6 linked regions of the Coturnix japonica genome follow. Each later gene encodes a partner of the first gene's protein in a complex. Links are inferred from orthologs where the notes say so. Each region holds a gene or a part of one and is shown in the gene's direction. Other genes may lie near its edges. The genes, in order: E2F4, LIN54, MYBL1, TFDP1, RBL1 and LIN52.

The links.
Region 2: E2F4 (region 1) and LIN54 share a complex: the UniProt entries of both Homo sapiens proteins name them as parts of the DREAM complex. The link is inferred for Coturnix japonica from reciprocal best matches to the Homo sapiens genes E2F4 and LIN54.
Region 3: E2F4 (region 1) and MYBL1 share a complex: the UniProt entries of both Homo sapiens proteins name them as parts of the DREAM complex. The link is inferred for Coturnix japonica from reciprocal best matches to the Homo sapiens genes E2F4 and MYBL1.
Region 4: E2F4 (region 1) and TFDP1 share a complex: the UniProt entries of both Homo sapiens proteins name them as parts of the DREAM complex. The link is inferred for Coturnix japonica from reciprocal best matches to the Homo sapiens genes E2F4 and TFDP1.
Region 5: E2F4 (region 1) and RBL1 share a complex: the UniProt entries of both Homo sapiens proteins name them as parts of the DREAM complex. The link is inferred for Coturnix japonica from reciprocal best matches to the Homo sapiens genes E2F4 and RBL1.
Region 6: E2F4 (region 1) and LIN52 share a complex: the UniProt entries of both Homo sapiens proteins name them as parts of the DREAM complex. The link is inferred for Coturnix japonica from reciprocal best matches to the Homo sapiens genes E2F4 and LIN52.

Annotation. Positions count from the first base shown.
Region 1 is NC_029526.1:1,552,154-1,556,372, reverse strand, and holds the start of E2F4 (transcription factor E2F4), read left to right. Parts: upstream 1-1,419; 5' UTR 1,420-1,466; coding exon 1,467-1,622; intron 1,623-2,665; coding exon 2,666-2,775; intron 2,776-3,195; coding exon 3,196-3,357; intron 3,358-3,622; coding exon 3,623-3,666; intron 3,667-4,219. Other genes in the region: EXOC3L1 (exocyst complex component 3-like protein), read right to left, coding at 623-665. UniProt on the Homo sapiens protein: Transcription activator that binds DNA cooperatively with DP proteins through the E2 recognition site, 5'-TTTC[CG]CGC-3' found in the promoter region of a number of genes whose products are involved in cell cycle regulation or in DNA replication.
Region 2 is NC_029519.1:41,226,681-41,230,180, forward strand, and holds part of LIN54 (protein lin-54 homolog), read left to right. Parts: intron 1-693; coding exon 694-765; intron 766-1,875; coding exon 1,876-1,978; intron 1,979-2,170; coding exon 2,171-2,308; intron 2,309-3,007; coding exon 3,008-3,210; intron 3,211-3,500. UniProt on the Homo sapiens protein: Component of the DREAM complex, a multiprotein complex that can both act as a transcription activator or repressor depending on the context. In G0 phase, the complex binds to more than 800 promoters and is required for repression of E2F target genes.
Region 3 is NC_029517.1:104,296,962-104,300,912, reverse strand, and holds the start of MYBL1 (myb-related protein A), read left to right. Parts: upstream 1-1,151; 5' UTR 1,152-1,348; coding exon 1,349-1,548; intron 1,549-3,951. UniProt on the Homo sapiens protein: Transcription factor that specifically recognizes the sequence 5'-YAAC[GT]G-3'.
Region 4 is NC_029516.1:123,705,282-123,708,781, reverse strand, and holds part of TFDP1 (transcription factor Dp-1), read left to right. Parts: intron 1-1,069; coding exon 1,070-1,191; intron 1,192-1,466; coding exon 1,467-1,632; intron 1,633-1,801; coding exon 1,802-1,948; intron 1,949-2,608; coding exon 2,609-2,677; intron 2,678-3,500. UniProt on the Homo sapiens protein: Can stimulate E2F-dependent transcription.
Region 5 is NC_029535.1:564,174-568,103, reverse strand, and holds the start of RBL1 (retinoblastoma-like protein 1), read left to right. Parts: upstream 1-1,130; 5' UTR 1,131-1,222; coding exon 1,223-1,572; intron 1,573-1,680; coding exon 1,681-1,881; intron 1,882-2,990; coding exon 2,991-3,055; intron 3,056-3,147; coding exon 3,148-3,276; intron 3,277-3,388; coding exon 3,389-3,549; intron 3,550-3,930. UniProt on the Homo sapiens protein: Key regulator of entry into cell division. Directly involved in heterochromatin formation by maintaining overall chromatin structure and, in particular, that of constitutive heterochromatin by stabilizing histone methylation.
Region 6 is NC_029520.1:34,237,034-34,241,053, forward strand, and holds the start of LIN52 (protein lin-52 homolog), read left to right. Parts: upstream 1-1,220; 5' UTR 1,221-1,312; coding exon 1,313-1,331; intron 1,332-1,418; coding exon 1,419-1,493; intron 1,494-1,588; coding exon 1,589-1,626; intron 1,627-2,147; coding exon 2,148-2,214; intron 2,215-2,712; coding exon 2,713-2,796; intron 2,797-4,020. Other genes in the region: ALDH6A1 (methylmalonate-semialdehyde dehydrogenase [acylating], mitochondrial), read right to left, coding at 775-834, 968-1,018.

The DNA of each region.
Region 1 (4,219 bases):
TTACCACGGATGGGGCCATGCAGTGAACAGGCTGCCCCGAGGAGCTGTTATCCAACCCACCAGCTCAGGGTGCCAACCTGAGGTGACCCAGCACGACAAGGACACGTTGCCCACGGGGGTCTCGTGCCACCTGGGAAGGCAGCGAGTCAGAAGGTGGCACAAAGAGCTGCTGGTCCGTGTGCCACTCCTGGAGGCTCTGCCTGAGGGAGCCACGCTGGTACAAGCACACCCAGGCTCCTGGACTCCTTGGTGTCCCAATGGGCTGCATGGGGCTGTCTTCAGAGTCCAAATAGAAGTGTCCAAAGCCAAGCCAAGGGCTGAGGGCTGAGACACAGCTCATCTTCAGGGCTCATTGTTTCCCCCCTTCCGAGAACTGGGGCTCCCTGCACCCCCCCGGGAGATGCCACCTTGCCCCCACCTGAGCTCCCCCACAAGGACACCGCTCGGGCTCGGGGCTCCCAAAGAAGAGCAGCGCATCCCTGGAAGGCGGGGAGCTCAGAGGGAAGGGCTGCAGCGTGGGGAGACGGTGGCAAAGCAGGAGATGGGGGAGCGTGAGCAGCACGGAGCGGCAGCCCTCCTCCCCTGCCCGGCACCGCGGGGGCTGCAGCATCGTCCCCGTTACCTGTAGGGCTCGCGCAGCGCTCGTCCTTCGCCGACATGCCCATGGTCTCAACGCCGCTGTGCACATACGAGCGGGGCTGGGCCGAACGGAGGAAGCCGACGGTCGTTTCCTCCGGCACACGGCGATCCTCAGGGGCTCATTGTGTTCCCGAGGACGCGCTCAGGATGTCGGGGCCGGAGGGGGAGCAGGGGAAGGAGGAAGGACATAAAGAGCGGCCACTCGGTGCGGGGCTCCCTATGGGGCAGGGTGACCATGGGTGCCCCCCATGACTGCTGGGTGCCCCCTATTGCCGCTGAGTGCCCCCTATGGCTGCTGAGTGCCCCCCATGGCCGCTGGGTGCCCCCCATGGCCGCTGGGTGCCCCCTATGGCGTTGGGTGCCCCCTATGGCCGCTGGGTGCCCCGGGGCTCTGCTACGTGCAGGATCTGAGCTGCCCTGTCGCTTTGTCTGAGCTGTGGGCACCCCGTTGGATGCCCAGCGGGGGTTCGGTGCGTTCATTCATTACGGGAAGGGGGCGGTGATGGCTCGCAATGCTCGGGGACACGGGTTGGCCATGAATGCTTTGGTTAACGGGGAATGGGATATCCCGGGGCCGCCGGGTAACCTCCATAGGGTTACGATGAGGCAATAGGGCATTGCCCGTCCAGAGCAGCGGTGGGCTCGGGCTCGGGCTCAGCCCCGCAGCCCTGTGAGCAGCCCACCATGGGGCTGGGACCCCCGGCCCCGACCCCCGCCCGTCCTCGCCCCCCCACGTGGTTTCCACGCCCGCCCCACAACGGAAGCTCCCGTCATACCCCCCGAATCGGAAGCGGAAGCGCGGCGGGCCTGGAGCCGGCGGCGGGCAGATGGCGGAGAGCGGGCAGCAACCGGCCGGGGCTGCGGGAGGAGGGAGCGGGGGAGCCGGGGCGCCCAGCCGGCACGAGAAGAGCCTGGGGCTGCTCACCACCAAGTTCGTGTCGCTGCTGCAGGAGGCCAAGGACGGAGTGCTGGACCTGAAGCTGGTGCGGGGCCCGTGGGAGGATGGGGAGGCCCGGCCGGGGGCATCGATGTGTGAGGGGGGGGAGCGTGGGGACGGCGGGTCGAACGATATGGCTGCTCTGCTGCTGCTGTACGGCCTGCACGCTGTGCCCCTCCGTGCCCCTCTGCTTGTGCGACCCTCCAGTTCTGTTCCCATCAGACAGAGCAGCACTCTGCTCCATGCCCTGCAAGCAGAATGAAGGCAGCCCTGGGTTATGAAGCTGTGCTGGAAGTACAAGGCTGGGGTGGTCCCCTGGCTATGCTGTCCTCTCCTATGGCAAACTGCTGTCTACTTGGATTAGGGCAGAAGGACGATGTTCCCTAAGCTGTCAGTTCAATGGGGGTTATGTTTGTTAGTGTGGTTTGTGCGTGGTCACTGAAGTCCTGCAGTGTGAGAGGGGCAAGTCATTTGTGCATTGCCCTCTGTGTGACACCACTGTGTGACTGGCAGCAGTTAAAGTCTTGTTACTTCTGCATTGCCGTCTGGTTGGTGAAGCAATATCGGTGCCTCCTGAATGTGAGGGGAGGGTCCTTCAAAGGGTCAGGATCATGGGATCATTGGGGTTGGAGGGGGCTGCTGGAGTTTATGCAGCCCAGCCCCATTGCTGAAGCAAGTCCCTGGATTAGAATGCACAGGAAAGCATCCAGGTGGGTTCTGATACCTACAGAGAAGGAAACAGCACAGCCTGTTCCAGTGCTCTGTCCTCCCTGTATCCATTTCCAGAGGACTCATGACCTCGTGTCCATTCTCTATCAGCTGGCATCAGGTTTTAGGTATAAAAAACCTTTTGAGTGTCAGCTTTGCTGAACTGCTGTCGTTCAGGCAGCCCTCTACCTTCAGATTCTCATCTCTCTTTACACTCGAGAAGCACTGAATGTTTAGGCTGCCAGGCTTGTAGCCCTGCCCTGCTGCTGAGGAGCTGTATGGGATGGTGAGCAGATAGATTGGTCAGAAGTTAATCTGATAGGCAGGAAGGAGAGAAGCATGACTGAGAGTTCGGAGTTAAGTGTCTGACTTCTATTGCAGGCTGCAGACACCTTGGCTGTGCGACAGAAACGACGGATCTATGATATCACGAATGTTCTGGAAGGGATTGGGCTGATTGAGAAGAAATCAAAGAACAGCATCCAATGGAAGTGAGTGATGGAGTTGAAGTCATTCATGGGTCCCTTCTAATCCAAGGTCTTGTCTTCTGGGTGCCTTTCTGCTGGTTTATCAGTGGCCTGTGCTGAGCTGTGCTGATGGTAGTAATGAGGAATGTTAAAGTATGTATGGCACATTGCTTTTATAGCAGAGCTCGTATTTTGGTGCAAACTATTTCCATGTCTCGAGTTAGAAAAGACACCTTTCATGGTGCTGGAGGTGGGGGATGGAGGAGGATGCACTGCATGGTGCTGTGCTGGAAGATGGTGTGAGGCTGCAGGGCGGGTACAGGTGAGATTCTCTGGCCTTGATGTGTGATAAAGGGGGAAGGAAGGAAGGTGGCAGCTCTCAAAAGCCGGGTGTTTTGGTTGCTCTGTTAGCTGATGCATGTCACTGCTGTTTGCTCTGTGCAGAGGGGTGGGTCCTGGCTGCAACACGCGTGAGATTGCTCACAAACTCATCGAGCTGAAGGCAGACATAGAGGACCTGGAGCAGCAGGAACAGGAGCTGGAGAAGCAGAAGATGTGGGTTCAGCAGAGCATCAAAAACGTCACAGAAGACGTGCAGAACAACTGATATCCTTTTGTCAGCCGGCCGTTCCTCAGGGCTGAAAGGCAGGAGCTGGGGCTGGGCTGGCAGTGCTCTGCTGGGGGCACCTCATGTTGCTGCTCTGAAAGGATAAGGAGGTCATCCCCCCCTTGGAAGCAGATGAGCACTGCCCAGTATAGACAATAGCTTCCTTTGCAGCGTTTCTTGTGCTCAGAAAGGAAGGAAACTCCAGGTGCCCTTTGAGTTCCGTCTTCGCAGGAAACTGCAGCTGTTGTCCTTAACCTTCCAAACGCTAGCTTATGTGACACACGAAGATATCTGCAAGTGCTTCACAGGTGAGGAAATGGTGCTGCATCATAGAGATATAATGCTGCAGTCCTGTCAGCCTATGCCAGCTGCTTTCCTTTCTCTAGGAAAGAGGAGGCAGCACATCTTGACTTAGGGCTGAGCATGGGCTGCCCTCAGCTGCATCATGCCTTGTACCAGGAGGAGAGCAAAGAGGAGGGAGTGAAGAGCAGGACAGAAGGGAATGTGCTTCTTGTTGTGACTTCACATCCTTGAGGGGCAAAAGTGGCAAAAAAGCTGCAGGAGTCTGTTTCCTCTCTGTTGGCAATTGCACTGATAGCTGCAGGGCCAGAAATACCCCAGTGCAGTTTGGCAGCCTTCTCAGCTGTAGCAGCGTGGATTCAGAGCTGCTTTCTGCTTCAGTGAATGCCTGCCCTCTCCTGACCCTCTGCAACCTACATCTGCTTGCTTGCCTCAGAGAGTTCAATGGGGAAGCTGCTTATCCTGCCCACCCCAGCTGTGCATAATCTCACCCTCATCTGACTGCTCACCTCTTCCAAGCTGTCTCATCATCAGCTCTTCCGTTTCTCATCTTTCCTTTCT
Region 2 (3,500 bases), on another chromosome or scaffold:
TGTTGTTTTTGTGTTATTGTTTGCTGGAAGCTGTGTACACCAAGGTGCTTTTTGATGCTGCAACCAAAACTATGATGCAAACTAATCCCTAATCCAGCTGCAGCTATTCAGATGATTGGGTTTGATTTAATCTCCAGAAATGTGCAGAAATTGCTGGATAGGGATTGAATGAATCTCATCAAAAGAGATTAATGACACAAAATCCTAGTTTTTAAGAGCAGTTAAAGCTTACATTTGATATGAAATTCATCTTTAAACCCAAGGCAATATTTTGGCTTGCTTATCCATTGTTTCTGGATTTACTCTATCTTTATTTTGTTCCAGCTTGTGCAAAGGTAAAGATGTGATCCTGTTCTATGAACCTTTTTTGGACCTAGTCCTCTTATGGATAGGGATGTTCTAAGGAAGCTTTCTCTGCACATTGCAGTTAAGGTGCATCCTCTAGCTTTAAACCTCATTTCTACTAGAGACATGCAGACAAATTTACAGTGAATAAGCAGCTCTTTCTGAAATGGGAAAACACTATGTATAATGGTCACTTACTGTCAGTCAGAAACCTAACAGAAAGGGAACATGAAGGTTTGTTAGAGTTTGTAGTACAAGCCACTTACTTGAATTTAAATTAGGAAGAAACTGATCAAACTGTGTATAAATAGATGCTTTCTTTTTTTCTTTCTCTTTTTTCACCTATAGAATAATTCCTTCTGAATCTGCAAATCGGCCCCGGAAGCCTTGCAATTGTACAAAGTCTTTATGTTTGAAATTGTAAGTACTTCTGGTTATTTTTAATCCTTATTTTTGACACCGTATTTATCCCAAGAATCAAAATGTTTTTGTCTGTAAGAAATGTTACATCTATCTTGTAGCGTAGTTATTGTTGACGTTGATGGGGATGTTGCCATGCATGTGCCATTGTGCAGCTTATGTGAGCTGTATAGACCCTACCATATCATGAACTTCTAACCTTGCACCCTTGTGCATGATTGAGCCAGTTCTGCTCAGCAGTTGGAGTTGCATTTTTGCTGTCGGTGACGTTACATCCAACAGCATCATCAGTGGATGTCTGCTGTACTTCAGCAAATCCTGTGAATAATGGTACACAGTGTGAAGTTCTACAGCAAAATTGGGCTGTTTGGTTTGCTGTTTTTTTCCTGTTTTATTATGTTTCAGGAGGGGGAAACGGTGTTTGTTTTAAAGACTCAAATAGACAAGTGATTCTTAAGCAGTCTAAGACTTGGTCATCCTCTTGGTTGTTGTTTGTTTTTTTTTTTACTGTTCTATTTAGTGTTTGTAACAAGTTGATATAAAACATCTTAAGTTGTTTTGTTGCTTTTAACCTAAGCAGAGTCAGTATGCGGATTTCTGTACAATATCAGGAGGAAATATTAATCTGTGCTTCCATGAGTGCTATACAAAGAAGAAAAAAATCAGTGGTGTGTTTCTCAAAGGAAAATGATTCAATGGTTTCTGAACCTCCTTTAAGAAATGTTTAATTATTGCATTTTGGGTTTGTTTCCATGTAACAGACCCCACACTGTGTGTTGGGGTGTCCCCTGTACTTCCTAGTCTCAAAATTGTCTGCTTCACAGGTAGCAAGGTACACAGGAAGAGGTTTAGCTGTTCTGTTGATTACTCTTCAATTTGTTTTACAACATATCCACTTGTTGCCTTCATGGTGCCAAAATAGACATGCACTGGGAGAGTTAGTCCTGGGAGTGAGACTTATACCACTTGTTCATATGGGGCTTGGTACAAGATGTCCAAGACCTTTATTGGTGTGTTTGTGTCACCAGACTAGAAATGTCTGGTGCTGCCATTGGTACTACAACAAGGTAATGTCATGCTTGCTAATGCTTTCTCTGTCTTCTGTTTCAGGTATTGTGATTGCTTTGCAAATGGTGAATTCTGCAATAACTGCAACTGTACAAATTGTTATAACAACCTGGACCATGAAAATGATAGACAAAAAGCAATAAAGGTGAGAAGTCTTTTTTTCTTACTTTTGAGGTTGTTGAAGTGAACAGCATGTTCCATTCATATAAAATTTAGCATGTTTCTGAGTGGAATTGTGATGGGAAAACTGGCTGTGTAGCTTGCCTCCAAAGATAGCTGGGATAAAAGCAGCTTGTGCCTTCTGAAGTCTGATGGGTGTTTGGGTCTGCATTGACAGGCTTGCCTTGACAGAAACCCTGAAGCCTTCAAGCCCAAAATAGGGAAAGGAAAGGAAGGAGAGTCAGATCGGCGACACAGCAAAGGGTGTAACTGTAAGCGCTCGGGATGCCTCAAAAACTACTGTGAGTGTTATGAGGTAAGAAGCATTATGTCATCCTAAAGGCTTCGGCTTTTTCCATTTGGTGCTGCAACTTCACTGTTGGGCTTTGTCCCTTCCTCGTGCTGAAACTCTGCCATAATGATTTTGGTCTATTTTTCCTACTGATGGTTTACATCTAGAAAGCTGTATGCATTGCAGAGTTGTTCACTTCTGTCCTGAGCTTCAGTTAAAAACATGTGGCAACTCTGAACTCAGGCTTGGATTTGTCCTTTACTAAAGAGCAGTCTTTTCTAAAGGACTCCACAAATCCTACAGAAAGAAACATACAGCACCATGTCCCTAGGTGCTCTATTAGTTATTACAGTATTACACAGACACTCATCATGTCTGTTGAAGCCAAAGGGAAAAGCTTAATCAGACTGCTGATGCAACACAGTCTGTAGATGTGGAGATGGTAGCAGCCTGATCTCTCTAATAGTTTTAACTGCTCAATTCTATTGAAAACAGCAGATTGGGAAAGAAGGACATGAGTGGGAAACTGTTGATTTGCAGCAGATCCAAGCATAAATTCTGGAAAGGCATCTCACTTCAGTAAGAGAATTTGAAGAGAAGACAGGGTTTCTTTTAGTGGCTAATTAATAAGACACTAAGACAAAATGACATTTCTTCCATGGTTTGTCATAAAGAATGTCTTAAGTTGTGATGGGTTTCTCATCTTCTCTTTGTTTCTTTCAGGCAAAAATCATGTGTTCCTCCATATGCAAATGTGTTGGCTGTAAAAATTTTGAAGAAAGCCCAGAGCGAAAGACATTGATGCACTTAGCAGATGCTGCAGAAGTTAGGGTCCAGCAGCAGACAGCAGCGAAGACAAAGTTATCTTCCCAGATCTCAGATCTTCTAACAAGGCCAACTCCAGCACTCAGCAGCGGTGGAGGGAAGTAAGTTAACGCAGTCCTCCATTTTGCTTGACTCTAATGTACTTTTTCGGATGCGTGTGGCATGTATGTTCCTGTTATCTTTGAATGTTATCTGCATAAGCTGTGGGACCAGGAGTACACAGGTGACTGGAGTCACTTGTCTTCTGTGAAATCTAGTGTGTGCGAAGCATAGCCGTATTCAGACATGTAACTGAGCATTGGTTTTTTGTGGTTAGTGTACGCTGCTAGAAAACAAGAAATGCCCATCCCTTTACTGAGTGTGAATAAACCTCAGGCTGCCCATTTAGTAA
Region 3 (3,951 bases), on another chromosome or scaffold:
TGATTCTCTCCAAGCAAGCAGTGCCTGCTGTGCAGCCGTGCCCCTGCCTGTAGCAACGCCTCACACCAGGGGAATGCTGTGAGGTCATAATCTCGCCCTTTAGAATTTTCACAGCTTCGGGCTGCATGTACCAGGAGAAAGTGAAGGTTGGCAAAGCACACAAGCTTGGTGTGTAAGTATGTGTGGTACTGTGTGGCTTTTCACTTTTTTGGGTGGCAGCTGCTTCTCATACGGTGCATGAAAAGAGCTATTTATTATTATTATTATTATATAATCAAAAATAGTAATAATAATATGCTCTCCAAAAGCAGCGTGACTGTGACAGGCCCCTCAGTCTCCCTCCCCACAGGAGAAGATCGCACGCCGTGTTCCCGCCGCGCCCGCCGAGCTGTGAGGGGCGGAACGGCGCCAGCCGCCAGTTCCCTTCGATAGCTCAGCTGGTAGAGCGGAGGACTGTAGAGGCGCCGCCTGCGGGAATCCTTAGGTCGCTGGTTCGATTCCGGCTCGAAGGAGGCTTCATTTTGCCCCACAGGGCCGCGGCCGTTTTTTCCCTCTCGAGGCCGGGCAGCCGTTTCTGTGCCCCGCGCGGGCTGCTCCGTCCCCGTCCGCGCGGTGCGGGCGTTACGAGGCGGCAGCGCTGGTCGTTGGGAGGAGCCTCGCGGCCCCGTTACGCGCCGTCCCCGCCGCTCCTCCTCCTTCCCCCCCCGCCCCCGCCTCGGGCTGGCGCGAGGATTCGCGCGGCCCCGCCTCCCCCCGGCCCCTCCCGCGTCCGTGTCGCGTGCGGCGGCGGCAGCCAATGGGGCGGCAGTCCGCCTGCGCAGATTCAAACGGTGGCTCGGGAAGGAGGCTGGGCGCGAGATTCGGCAGCACCGACCGAGCCCGCCGTGACTGTGGCGGTGGCGGCGCAGCCGGGGCCGCGGGGGGGGGGCGGAGCGGGGCGAGGTGAGGCGAGGTGAGGCCAAGACGGGCTCGCCGTCGGCTCGGTGCGGGAAGGCGCCGTCGGAGCCCGCGGCGGCTGTGACAGGAGAGAGGGCGGCGGGCGGGAGAGGGGCCGCTGCGCGCCCCGTCCTTGCGGGCAGGGCCCGGCCGAGCCATNGGGGGGGCGGCTGGCGGCGGGCGGGCCGGGCAGAGCGGGGCGAGGTGAGGCGAGGTGAGGCGAAGACAGGCCGGGCGGCGGCTCGGGGCGGGAAGGCGCCGCCGGAGCCCGCGGCGGCTGTGACAGGAGAGAGGGCGGCGGGCGGGAGAGGGGCCGCTGCGCGCCCCGTCCTTGCGGGCAGGGCCCGGCCGAGCCATGCCTGACGCGCTCGGGCCGGGCCGGGGCTGAGGGCGGCCGGCAGCGCGTCTGCGGATGCCGCGGAGCTCCGCGGGAAGGAGGGAACCGTCCCAGGAACGCGAAGCCTCCGTCGGCCGCCGTTGCCCCTCTCCTCCCCCCGCCCTGCCCGAGCTCGGCGGCTGCGGGGCGGGGAGCTCGGGCGGGGGCTGGGGAGCTCCGCTGCCCTGGCGGCCCCCCCTATGCTGCGACCCGAGGATGGCCAAGAGACCGCGCAGGTGAGTGCGGCGCCGCCCGGCCCGGAGCGCTGCCAGCTGCCGTCCCCGCCTTCCCCCTCCCTCCCCGTGCTGGGTGCCGCCCCCCTCCCTGCGCAGGTGCCCCCTGCCCGTCCCCCTCCCTCCTCTTCCTCACCCCCCTCACGGCCGGCCTGGGTGCTCCTCCTGCGGGTATCCCCTTCTGCTGGGACACAAACAGTCCCGGGGTGCTTTTTTTGCCTTCCTCGGGGACAGCTTTCCTCACGGGCTTCGGTAGCGGCCGCAGATGGCTCTGATACGTTTGTTGTTTACTGATATGGAGATGGGTGTGTCTTCGCTTTGAATTCAAACGTGGGTCTGGCAGAAGTACTTTATTGCTCCTGTCTTAAATAGAAAAAGTGGTAGCACGGCGTAAAAGGAGAACGAGGACCGAGATAGTAAAGGATGCTCAGTGAGCAGCGGCACTTTGTGCACTACCTGGGGCTGCTGCAGCGCTCCCGTGGAGCTGCTGCTGTTCTCAAAGTCGCAAATAGTTTCTTTGGCAGATACTTTTCTTATGAAAAACCGCAGCTAAACCAAGAAAGCGATGCTTTGGAGTTCTTGCTGTGTGAGGAGCAATGGTGCTCTGAAGGCTTTGCTGGCAGAGGCTCCGGTCTGCAGGAGCCGGCTCAGGGAGTGTTTGTGATGCTTGTAGCAGGGTGCCTTCAGCTGCACTCCTGCAAACTGTAGTTTCATCTTTACGAAGCTTCATCTTGTTCTCTCTGTCAGGAGTGTGAAGGGCTTTGATGTCACAGCAGAAAATAAAACTAGCTGTGGTCGTAGAGGAGCCTCTGGCTAGAGATCTGGAGCTCCAGGAGAGCGCTGTGGTAGTGAATGGTGATGGTAAAGCCCAGTCTAAACCAGTGTAGTTCCAAGTTCCCAGAAGGTGATTTCAAGGTCATTAGTTAAAGTGTGGTGTGAAAAGAAACTATAATTTTCTTTGCACCTAATGGAATGAAGTTTAATTTTCATAAAGATTGGCTCTTTGGTTGTTTTTTAATTATTATTACTTTAACTGGGATGTATTTTTATTGTTTTTATTAAATAAGAATTACGTAATAAAGGAAGACTTGAGTTAAGAGATGTTTAAAGGCGGCCTGTACGTAGCTCATGGAACACTTCCTTGTTCCAGTGACTCGTTTGATGGAACTTGGTTCTAACTATGCTGTGTTAAGTCCACTTTCACAGCTGCTGTGAGTTGCCAGGTGAACAGTCCAACCTCATTGAGAAGCCTTTTGTTCCCAGTTGGAATTGCAGCAGTCCCAAACATCCTTCTGTGTCGGTCTTACAGTCCCATGTCCCGCTCAGCACAAGGCTGATGATGATGCAGCAGCTCCTGTGTTGAGCCAGGTGTAGGTGACTCATTGCCTGCAGAGTGCACTGGCTCCAGAACTGTGGGTACGAGGCTTCCAGCGACCCTCACCTCCATTATTTTCTTATTATATTTTAATAATTTTAAAATCTGGGTGGCTTTTCACATAACCCAAGTCTTGGTGCTTGAATCTGGCTGTTGTGTAGTGGTTGAGCAGGAAGGTGCTGCTGGCAGTGGGCTGAACTGCCAGGCCAAATCCTTGGTTATAAGTAGAATCATAGAATTACCCAGGTTGGAAAAGACCTTGAAGATCATCAAGTCCAACCGTAGCCTAACCATAGTACCCCAACTCTTAACAACCCTCTGCTAAATCATATCCCTGAGCACCACACAAGTAGATTGTATGGTGTGCTTGGTATGAACTAGGATTATAATACCAAGGTATGCTCTTGAAATTGGTCAAGAGCCTGTGGGAAAGAGGCAAAAAAAGAAGTTAATGTGCATTAACTGACAGGCACAATTGGCTGCTCTATGGGCTGTGTGAGCGAACAGCGGGTTCTAGAATTAATTCAGAGCTCTGCCATCTAATAGTTGTTAGGACACCAGCACAGGTTTGCTTCATTTCTGAGCAAGGCTTTATTTATTGGGGGTGGGGAGGGAATAATGCATTCCTTGACTGGGAAGATAAATTTAGTTCTGAATAGGAACTTGTGATATTGTGCTTTATATTGATAACAAAATGGGTGAAACTTAAAACGTGGTGTGGAGTTCACTATAATTAGGGCTGTATAAGTAGCTGTGAGTCTCCTCTGTGTCTCTGCTGTAACTAACACAGAGGATCTGCCCTTCCTGATGCTAGGCCTAGGTTTCCTCGCTTGTTTAAGTTTGTGCTGTCCAGCATGAATCACTGACGTGTAAGTTTGAGTGTTGTTTCCATGAAGCATTTCCCTGTGCTTCCTATTTGAAAGGCTTTGTTTATTAAGGCTGTGAAGCAGGGATTTCTCCAGTAGATGGAGTGTGACCTACGTGGAGCTGCAATCGTTACCTGGTTTCCCGCCCCGCTGACTCTTACCCAG
Region 4 (3,500 bases), on another chromosome or scaffold:
GTGCTATTTTAATGCAAAGTCATGATCTTCTGTGAACTTGTGAGTAAAGCCTAGGGTTATCAGCATTTCTTTTAAGGAGACGATAAGAATGCTAAATAATTCTTAGACGAATCTGAAATTCTGGGCTGTGGGGTCTTCCTTAATTGTCAGTACATACTTGTTTACCTTTGAATAAGGCACTTGTGAGAGTAATTAGATTTCAAAGAGTTATTTAAAATAAAAGCAAGTAACCCCACATTGAAGAAGCTCCTTTTTGCCTGTAGGATTTATCTATTCCTCTGTGTTCTATAGAAAAACAGAATAGTCTTAACATATGATTGTTCATTATGTGAAGACTTCTCAATATTTGATAGGAATATTAGGCTTCTTAAGGATACTTACTGTATTTCTAAGGTTCTCTATCCCTCACATAGAGTATTTGCATAATACATGAACCAAGATCTGAGCCATACCCTTTATGTGAAAGCATGGGCCTTATGATATAAACATATAGCATAAAAGCAGATTATTATGAGGCTAAAATAGCTATAGTGTAGCTGTAGTTTCTCAGTAATTGAGAAGGGTACACCATTCTTTTTCTTCACTTCTAATGTACTCATACTTTGTTTTTAGCTCTGCAGTGAGAGTCTGCCTGTAGGAAACAATTCCTTGACACTGCACTGTTTTTTCTCAGCTTTTACTCATTTTCAAACCTTCTTGTTCTGTACATTTATATTTTAACAGTAATTTACTGCAACATCTTTAGATGTAGTTTGATAGGATTTTTTGTTTTGTTTGCCTTGGACCTTGTCTAAATGAGAGTTGAAGCATTGTAAGAAACCCAGTAAGCATGAAAAGCTCATTTTGGAAGGATAAAATAAAAATGATTATTGCTTAAGGAGTGATTTAACCATGTGATGTGCGGTCTGAAGGTTTTTGTGCTTGTGTGTCTAAGTTGAAGGCTTCTGTTACGAGTGTATAGAAAGTAAGCATTTTTTGGTTCTTGACTAATGTGTCATGAATAATGCAGTATCTGAACATCCTGGGATAGTTATGGTTATTTTCTAAATGATTTTTATCTTTGTTGTAGGTTATCGGTACACCTCAGAGACCTTCAGTGCCAAATACTATCCTGGTAGGAAGTCCACATACACCTAACACACATTTTGTATCACAAAACCAGACTGCAGATTCTTCGCCGTGGTCTGTTGGGTGAGCAAAATAAAAGTTACAAAGGATTAATAAATTACTTAGAACTTTTGCTCTAAATGTTTGCCGTGATAGTGTATATGCTCTTCATGCTGGCAGTGTGGGAAAGACAGTCTGTTTACCTTCAAGGGTGGAATCATACAAAAAAGACATTGGGAAGGGGAGAAGAGTAGAATAAAAGGGAAGACCTTGGACTTTTGTATCTGTGCTTGGAAAAGAGATGTTAAGTATTCCAAAAGTTCAAATCTTCTTAAAAAACATATCATATGTATGTTTAGGAAACGGAACAGAAAAGGAGAGAAGAGCGGCACAGGTTTACGTCATTTCTCTATGAAGGTTTGTGAGAAGGTACAAAGAAAAGGAACGACCTCATACAATGAGGTGGCAGACGAGCTGGTTGCAGAATTCACTACCCCTGATGATCACATTTCACCAAATGAATCAGTGAGTATATGGGAGGTTAGTTACGTGTGAACTGAGTGGGGAGGCTTAGATTTCTTCTCCCATTGCTTAATTAAACAGTTCAGATAATAACCAAGATTACACATTTGCTGTAATTTATTTTCAGACGTTTTTGTCAGGCATGTTTTTGATTAACGCTCTATGTCTACAGCAGGCTTATGACCAGAAGAATATTAGACGACGTGTCTATGATGCCTTAAATGTCCTCATGGCCATGAACATTATCTCTAAGGAGAAGAAGGAAATCAAATGGATTGGTCTACCTACAAACTCGGCTCAGGAATGTCAGAATTTAGAGGTAAATGTATAGGAAATTCACAATGGATTTGTTTTGAATAAAAACTTGGATTTGCTTTTATTCTACATGTGCATACGATCTTCTGAGATAAAAAGTAGAATAGTTTGGTCCCTTCTGACTTCCTTTTTAATTTATGTTTATGCAATATGCATCTGAATTTTCCAGATTGCTTGAATATATATATATACACACACATATATATATTGCTATTTAGTTGTATAAAATGCAGCAGATCTAATCAGTGCTTAGTACTGTGGGAATGTAAGCAGCTTCATTTGTTTAAGTATCTTTCTCTTCTCCGATAGCTCCAATATCAGCAGGGTATACTAAGTAGATCATTCTGGTCTACATGCTCCTTGCCTCCCTCCTAGAATGTGGGTAACTCTTTGAGGCATAGCTTCCACTTACAAAGATGTTTTTATGCTCTTCCTTCTATATTCTGCTTTATTCCTGGATATCTTAACTCCTCTCTTTGTTACAGTTTCCATTGGTAGTACTGATGTGAGACTTTGTAGATCTCAGCATCTTCTGCAGTGCATTAGTGACTGATGCACTTGTTGCCTTCATTTATCTGGTATTTAAACAGTTTAAGGGGAGAAAATGTTGATAGAAAACACTATTTAAAACCTACAAACTAATCAGTTTGTTCTCTGTCTTAAGGTGGAGAAACAGAGAAGACTTGAAAGAATAAAGCAAAAACAATCTCAACTACAAGAACTCATTCTACAGGTACAGTCAAGGTACTCTTGTCTATAGGGCAAGGTAACTTACATCTGCATTCCTCGTTTTGTCCCACTGGGGAATGGGAGACCTCTAAGAAGGCTAGAGATTAATTTTGGGATAAAGGTAGCACTGGGACCATGGTGTTGACTGTTGCTTATGGCAAAGGCAGCAACCTTCTATGAGCCATGATGGGTTTTTTCCTGTAGTTGTATGTTTAAAAAAAATTTGCGTTAACAGGACCAATAATTCATACTGTACTCCTCAGTATTGTACAATGAATGTTTTTCTGCAGTAGTCCTCAGATAAAATAGCTTGACTTTAACAGGTCATCTCTTGTGATGATCTTTGTCTTGCCTTTCTTGAACGTTGCTGCCCTGCCCTGTAGGTGGCTTAATTGCATTGGCACAGTTGCTAAATTGCAACTTGAGCTCCTTTCCAGATTCCACCTAGTATTTTGTAGGAAGCAGTAATCCCCTGAGTCCCTGTACTGCTGGTTCACTGTAATGTATTGTGTTATGTATTCAGTAAGAATGAGAATCAGGAAGGGCGTGCAGAAAGAAAAGGCAATTGTGGATTTGCAATTTCCACAACTATCTGATTTTTACCAGCCTCTGTTGGCTTTGTATTTTCATTTATTTATTTGAATTCCCATGTATTTCATTGTATTCCATGACCAGAAACACGCTATTTCTAGTTTGGTGGCTTAGTGTAAGATATTAATGTAAATTGGGTTTTAGTAGTTAACTAGAATAATTTCAAAGACTAACAAACAGAAGAATTAAAATACAAACAATCCATTCATGCGGAAATTGCATTCCGAGGAAATTCA
Region 5 (3,930 bases), on another chromosome or scaffold:
TGCTTTGTGACCCTTTTGCAACCCGATGTGCTCTGTGCATTACTTGCGCTGTGAGGCATTGGCAGCTCCTTCTCATTTTCCATCCTATCCCAAAGAAACGCCGACGTTCCGCGGGTTGTCCTGGATCCCCACACAAACACATCCCCACCAAACGCGCTAACAAATAAAGGTCTGTGCTCTTGGATGTGGATAAAAAGAAAAGGAAAAAAAAACAAAAAACCAACAAAAAAAAAAACCAACAAAAAAAAGATTTAAAGGTCAGATTTTTATTTTTTTAATTTAGTGACGAGATGATGCTTATCTTTCAGACTTGGCAGAGCCTTGCTACAGATGTATATAATTTTTTTCAGCAAATATATGTGAACGTTTAATTCACCTGACTGTGATACCGGTTCCTCGCTTTTCTCTCGGCACCAGCGCCGAGGTCCCGCCGTGCTCCCGCAGCGGAGCGGCCCAAGGCACGGCGGGCTGATCCCGGAGCGCTGCGGGGCGCCCGGGGGCGGAGGCGGAGCCCGGAGAGCGGCCGCGGTACCGGCCGGCATCGCTCGGTGCGCTCGGGCAGCACCGCTCTGCGGGACGGTCCTTCTCCCACTGACACCGCGACACCTGCACCGGAGCCCGGCGAACGCCCGCAGGTGCCGAGCAGCGGCTCGCGGTGTCGCTCCGGCTCAGGGCGGCGCCGTTACTGAGCGGTCGCCGTTCGGTTCCTCGGGCGGACGGACGCGATAAGGGTCAGTTCCCGGCGGTGCGTGGAGCCGTGCGGGGCTGGGGCAGCTCCGAGGTCCCGAGCTGCTGCCCGAGGAGCCGCTCGCACGGCGCCATGTGCGGACGGTCCCGGCCCCGCAGCCCCGCTCGGCACAAGGTGACGCTGTGGGCAGCGCCGTGACACACGAGGCCGCCCCGCACCGCGACCGAGGACGGCGGCTCTGCGGAGCGGCGGGCACAGCGCGCACATGGGACGGGCCCAGGGACGAGCCATCCCACGGACACGGACACGGACACGGACACGGACACGGACACGTCCTGGTTCCGTCCGCCCCGCCCGCTCCCCCTCCGTTACACACACAGCCCCTCCCAGCCCCGCGCTCCCCTCCCGTTTCCCGCCCGTTGGCGCTCACGGCGCCGGAAGCGGCCGCGCCGTTTCCGGTGGTGGGTTTTGGCGCGCAGAGCAGCTCGGCGCGGTGCCGGCCGGGCCGGGTCGGGCCGTTGTTGGGCCGCCGTCATGTCCCGCACGGAGCCGCTGCTCGAGCCCGAGCTCGGCGCCGCCGTGGAGCGGTTGTGCCGGGAGCTCAACCTGGACGCGGGCAGCGCGGCCGAGGCGCTGCGCGACTTCACGGCGCTGCGCGGCACCTACAGCCTGGAGGTGGGCGGTGAGGCCGGGCGTCAGGCCGCGACGTGGCGAGTCGGCCCCGGCCCCACGCGCGGCGTTGCCTTGCAGGGGGACGCGCAGCACTGGTTGGCCTGCGCGCTGTACGCCGCGTGCCGCCGCCGCGTGCTGCCCACCGTGGGCTGCGGGACCGTGGAGGGGAACGGCGTGTCGCTCACCCGGATCCTGCGCTCCGCCAGGCTCAGGTGCGCAGCTCGGCCCGCGGGGCGGCGCTGAGAACGGACGCGCGTTAAAGCCGATAATAAAGTGGCGCTTTCCTCGTCGGCTTTTCTTTCTTTTTTTTTCCTTTTAAGTCTGATTCAGTTCTTTAGCAAAATGAAGAAGTGGATGGACATGGCCAACGTGCCGCAGGAGTTCCGGGAGCGGGTGGAGCGACTGGAGAGGAACTTCGAGGTGTCCACCGTCATCTTCAGGAAGTTCGAGCCCATATTTCTGGATGTCTTTCAAAACCCCAACGAGGAGACCTGGAAACCCCAGCGCAGCAGGAAGCAGAGGTACTGCAGAGCGCCGTGTGGCTTTGCATGGGTTTACAAGTAACGGGAACGTTTGTTGTGCTTAGAAAATAAGGCCGAGCTTTGAAGTGACTGAGTGTGAACGCAGGGATGGTGCAGGGCGGTGGCTGAGGCTGGGCTGTCAGTCCCCCCGTGCCTCTCAGGGTGCTCCGTCCGCGGGGCTCCAACGTGCGGCTGCTTTATGTGACTGCCCGTATGTGAGTGCCAGGTGAGCGCTGCCCTTCTGTGGGAGAAAAATGCAGACAATGTGCTCATCTGTGTGACACTGTAACTGCTTCTGGTGTCTTCCTGATGCACAGAGCGCTTCTAGATTCAAGGGCTTTGTCCTTGTTCTGCATTGACTGTGTGGTTGTCCCTGGTTGCTCTGATGAGGATACGACCTTCAGCAGCAGGAGCTGAGCTGGCTCTTTGCTGGGGGTTTCTGCTGCTTCACGTGCTGGTCTGGATGCAAGGGGTTAATTTGTGGTAACCCGCTCTGGTGTAGCTCCTTGTGCACAAATGGGAAGGGAGCTGCTGCTGCTGCAGCCAGTTCTGCTGCGTCTGCACAAGGAGAAATGTCCATGCACTGTTAATGTTCCTTCATCAGAGCAGCTCTCATTAGCGTGACCGCACTGTTAGCTTCTCTGTCAGGTGGTTTTCATTCATTTCTTCTCCTAGACTATTCACCAGAAGAGCTGCAGTGCAAGTTGTGGTTGCATGTTTTGAAGGGATGTGTGATGCATTAGTAAAACGTTTAGGAGAAAGATGCACTGCAATTGAGAGAGCCCTCAGCATGGCTCTGCGTGCAGCTCTATGAGACTCCAGTTGCAATTACACCATCACCAAAGCAGTGTGCCTGGGGCACCAAGCACAGGCAGCTGTTGGCTCAGAGCAGTCGGTGATGCTGTGCCAGAAGCTCTGCAGAGCTATCCAGGAGGCTGCAGTAAGAGGAGCTGCTCTGTGTGCCCGCAGCTTACAGTGTGCCTTAGTTTGCACTCATGAGGTGATGGCTCTGTCTGTTGCTTTGAGCATGGAAACAGAAGGAAACTTGCTAAGCAGTATGTTTCAGCTTCCTGGAAGCAGAGACTGATTCCCACCCCTCTCGTTGACAGGCGGGTGCTGTGTGGTGTTAAGGATCTCTTCAACTTCTGCTGGACCCTGTTTGTGTACACTAAGGGTAGGCTTGTGCTCTGCAGCCACGTGTTTCGCATGCGTTCTGAGTTACAAACTTCTGTTGCGTCGCCTGACATGATGTGCTGTCTCTTAAAGGTAATTTCCGTATGATTGGGGATGATTTAGTAAATTCCTATCATCTGCTTCTGTGCTGCTTGGACCTGGTTTTTGCAAATGCCATTTTGTGTCCAAATCGGAGAGATTTGCTAAATCCGTCGTTTAAAGGTAGGGTGGGGATCAGTTATTCAAAATGAAATACACTTTGTTCCTTTGGTTATTCTTCTTTAAGTAAAGATGGAGGTTGGTTGTTTTGTTTTTCCCCTTCGCCCATTCCCAGGTTTACCAGCTGACTTCCACGCACTAGAGATGAAAGCCTCAGAGGACCCCCCGTGCATCATTGCCACGCTGTGTGAGCTGCATGATGGGCTTCTTGTGGAAGCGAAAGGAATAAAGGAGCACTACTTCAAGCCATACATTTCTAAGCTGTTTGATAGGAAGGTTCGTATTGCTATTTGAAGGATGTGTGATAGCGCTCATACTGACGGTCCTGTCTTGAACACTGAAATCCCGTGTGTATGGAGGAAGGTGCACTGGTAGGCAGAGGACTTGTGTTGGTTCAGGTCTGTTCCTCTGTGCATTTTGGCAGGAGCGGAGCTGAACTCTCCCTTCTAATGATGAGTGCTGTAGGGCCCCCCTCTGCTTTGGCTTCTTATGTCAGTGGAGAATCCTTGCTTCCTTGGCAGTATGGAAATTGCAGGTGATAACCTGTTTTAATTAAAGATGATGTTATCTTGTGGAGTAGCTGTCATGATTGTCTGGATCCTGGTGTGTGTCATGGGCTAAACACAGTGCTCTGAATGAGGAGGTTGGGGTCACAGG
Region 6 (4,020 bases), on another chromosome or scaffold:
CAGGCTTTTGCTATTTCCCACTGTACTCCATCATTTTTTTCCCCTTGATTTAGGCTAAAATTGTCAAAACCCCGTCTAAAAACTATTACAGAAGATACACATTGATAGAATCATGTTCAGAACTATTTTAATCTACTCAGTCACTACAATTGCTAAGTCATAAAAACCCTGCAGTTCACAGACATATTTAAAAGAAACCAGTTAATAATTCACTTGGTAAGAATTCTGCCCATTAGTTAAGGAGTTCAGGTAAGTATGGAGAAGAAAAAGCAGGGGTAGAAGATGCAGTTAGTGCTGCAACATGCAGGAAGAACTGGGGCCATATAAGTGAAGAGATTGGAATATAGTGCCAAAGGCTTTGCTGAAGTCTAGGTAGACTGTGCCAACAGCCTTTCCCTCATCCACCGGGCAGTTCACCTGGTGAGGGCAGGGATGCTAATGCTGCTGTGATGGTGGGAGAGGGATCAAAGGACGAATCAGGAAAATAAATGGGGCTGAGCCGGACAGGTCACGGCTGCGAAGAGTGTAATGGATAAGCGAGGCCTCGGCTTGTGAAGGAACGCGGCGGTGGGTTAAAATAAGAATAAGACATGACAAGTGCTGATGTGGCTGGCGTTACGGCGGGACGAGCCGTGCCGCGGGCTGCACTCGGGATAACACCATCTTCAGAACTGAAGGGAGAGCAGGAAATCCGAGCTGCTCCTCGGCCCGGCGGAGCCACCGCCGCGGGCCCCTCCAGCCCAACAGCAAACAGAGCTGCCCGGCCCCACTCACCACGGAGGAGGAGGAGACGGCGGCCGAAGCGATCCAGGGAGCCCCGGCTGTCCGCGGCAGCTGGATGTGGACACAGAGCAGCCCGGTTACACGGTGCTCCCCTCCTCCTCCACACCCCCCACCTCCTCCCCACCGCCCCCCGAGGTGCCACCCGCGGCCCCTCCCGCAGCGCTGTGTCCGTGTGCCGCCTCACCCTGAGCACCACGCGCCGCCCGCCCCAAGCGCCACGAGCCACCGCCGCCATCCCGGCCGAGGGTCACAGCGCTCGGACCCCGAGCGGAGCCCCCAGCACAGGGACCCGCCCCCGCCCGCTCATTGGCCAGACGAGCGCCCCCCCCGCCCGCTGTACGCCCCCCCCGAGGGGGCCTTGCCGGCCGCCAGCCAATCGCTGCCAGGGAGAGCGTCGCCCCGCCCCTTTCCCGCCACCGCCCCCCCATCCGGGGCAGCGATTGGCCACGAGCACTAAGGCGCTCGGGCTCTGTTGTCACGTGGGTGGATTCCCGCGGGCTGTGGGTTTAGGTCACGTGACGCAGGCAAGATGGCGGCTCCCGGTGACGGTAAGGCGCGCGAATGGGGTCATCGTCACCCTGCGGTACGGTCTGAGCGGGCGCCGCTTCACCTCCGTTCTACTCCCTGTGCTGTAGGTGCCGATCTGGAAGCCTCTCTGCTGAGCTTCGAGAAGCTCGACCGGGCTTCTCCGGACCTGTGGCCTGAGCAGTGTGAGTGAGTGCGGCGGGCCCGTGTCGCTGGGGTGATGGCGGGGCTGCCGGGCCGGCCCCGCGCTCACCCGGCGCTGTTCGGTTCTCTCTTGCAGTGCCCGGCGTCGCCGAGTTCGCCGCCTCCTTCAAAAGCGTAAGATGCCAACACCACGGCACTGCGGGTCATACAGGCACTGCGGGAGGGACGAGCTGCGCAGGAACGCGCTGCTCTAAGCCCTGGGGGTGCTGCTCTTACTGCTGGCTTTGGCTGTGACTTGCAGTAACACCCAACTCGTCCAGGAAGAGCTTTCTAGGCATTAGAGTAGCCCTGTAGGGTGCCTGGAGCCATCGCGTTTATTCTTTCAGTGTAACTGGTTGTAAATAGGTGACGGAGCACTGGAACAGGCTGCACAGGGAGGTGGTGGAGTCTCCTTCTTTGGAGATATTCAAGACCCGCCTGGACACCTACCTGTGTGACATGGTGTAGGGAGCCTGCTTTGGCAGGGGGGTTGGACTCGATGATCTCTAGAGGTCCCTTCCAACCCCTACAATTCTGTGTGTGTAAATGCTATATCAGGCTTTGTATGCAGCTAAAAATGTACTTCTCTGAGAATGTTTTGCTTTTTTTTCTTCCTTTCTTTTTGTTCTTTTTCTTTTTCCTCCCCCCCAAACCAGCCTATTACAAGCTCGCCTCCCAAATGGATGGCTGAACTGGAGAATGATGATATCGATATGTTAAAGGGTGAGTATGGGCTCCATGGGCACTGAGGCTGTCTGCGGGTGGGAATTCAGTGCCTACTAAAAAGATGAGCTCAGAGACCTTCTGAAGCCTTGTGGAAAGGAAGGGATGGGGGATGCTCCTCTTAATCTGCAGACCATCTTAACCTGCAGAACATCTCCAGTTGAATGATTCTGCTTAGGAGTCTTTGTCTTGTCAATTGCCTCTATCTTTAGTTGGTCCCACAAGAATATATACTGATAACAAAAATGCTGTTGTTCTCCTTGTTACTGCTTTTTGAAGCAGTAAATCCCTGCTGTTTATTTTTTCTTCATTTTTTTTGATTGCTTTGGAACAGTTAGAATGTCTTGCTGGTTATTATGAGTTGTGAGAGCTGAAGAACATATGCTGTACACTGTAAACCGATACTGTTCAAAGTATAACTTGAATGCTCTGTGAAGCGATAAACATAAGCTGCCACTAGAGGGCTACAGTGTTAAAAATCACGCTTTTTCCTTTTAGAGCTGGGAAGCCTCACTACAGCCAACCTGATGGAAAAGGTTCGTGGCCTGCAGAATTTGGCATATCAGCTGGGACTGGATGAATGTGAGTTCTGTGCACAGATGTGATGACTGTATTATGAATCTTGCCACTGAAGTGTGTGTTTATGTTGCACTTACAGTCAGAAAAGTACGTTTGCTGAAGTGGGGAATGTCACACAATTATGACAGTGCAATAGAGAATTTTCTGAAGAAAAAAAGAGTGCTGCTCTAAGCAAGTCTATCATGGATGCAGTGGAGCCTAATAGAGCACATTTAAAAGAATTTCTTATTTTAGGTCTTGTTTTCTGTTTTGAATGCTAAGGTCCAGTGTTTTCTAGTGGCCCATCAATTTCTGACTTAACTTTGGCTTAGGTAAATCACTCAGTTTGCTTCATTTACCGCTTAGGTGCTAACACTCTGTCACAGAGTATCTGTGCCACCACTTCTGTGACTGTGCGTTTGTGTACTGCCTACAGAGTGAAAATGTAACTGGTGTGCAGGATTCTGTTAGCCATTAGTGCTCTTGTAACTTTGGGCTTCTGCAGTTATTTATTTTCCATAGTCAGCTATAGCAGGAGGTGCTGTCACTGCATTCTAAAGTTGACCTTCATCCTGCTTACCAACAACCAATTTATGTCAGTGCCTTTTTTGAAGGGGGGTGGGGGTGGGAGTGGGGGTGGGGATGGGGGGAAGATGCGTTTTTTTTATTGTCATTGCATATAGGATTTTGTTGTTAATGTGCTGATCCGGCTTTGAAGATTCCAAAGGGATTGTGCTTCCTTTAAACAGTATCTGTGTGTACTGATGCATTTAACTTTTACTGCTTTATTTTGCTCTGTCTTAGACTTCAGTTTTAGCAAACTCTTGAGCTTTACATGAGGCTTTGAAAATTTTTAGGCTCAAAGATTTTTTTCAGCTTTATTTCAGTGGGTAACAAAAAGCAGTTGAACTTTGAAGTCTCGTGATTGTGAGCCTGGAATACATATTTCTTATCAATAGATCATTAAGCCTGTTTGAACACTCTCTCCATAGGTAGAAATTTACTTTCAGTGCCAACATCTACAAGGATTGAATAAAGCTTTTAGTGGAGTAGAAGTTATACTTTAACAATGGAAATCTTAATCAAATAATAAGATTGGCTGGTGGTTTGCTTTCTCGATTTATATAACGTCTCACTGTATTTGCAATTTATTTTCACCAAAGTCTATCTCTGTAACACATTGAGTGCTTTGTGTGTCATGACGTATACATGTATGTTAGGAAATCTTCCATATATAATTAAATGCTG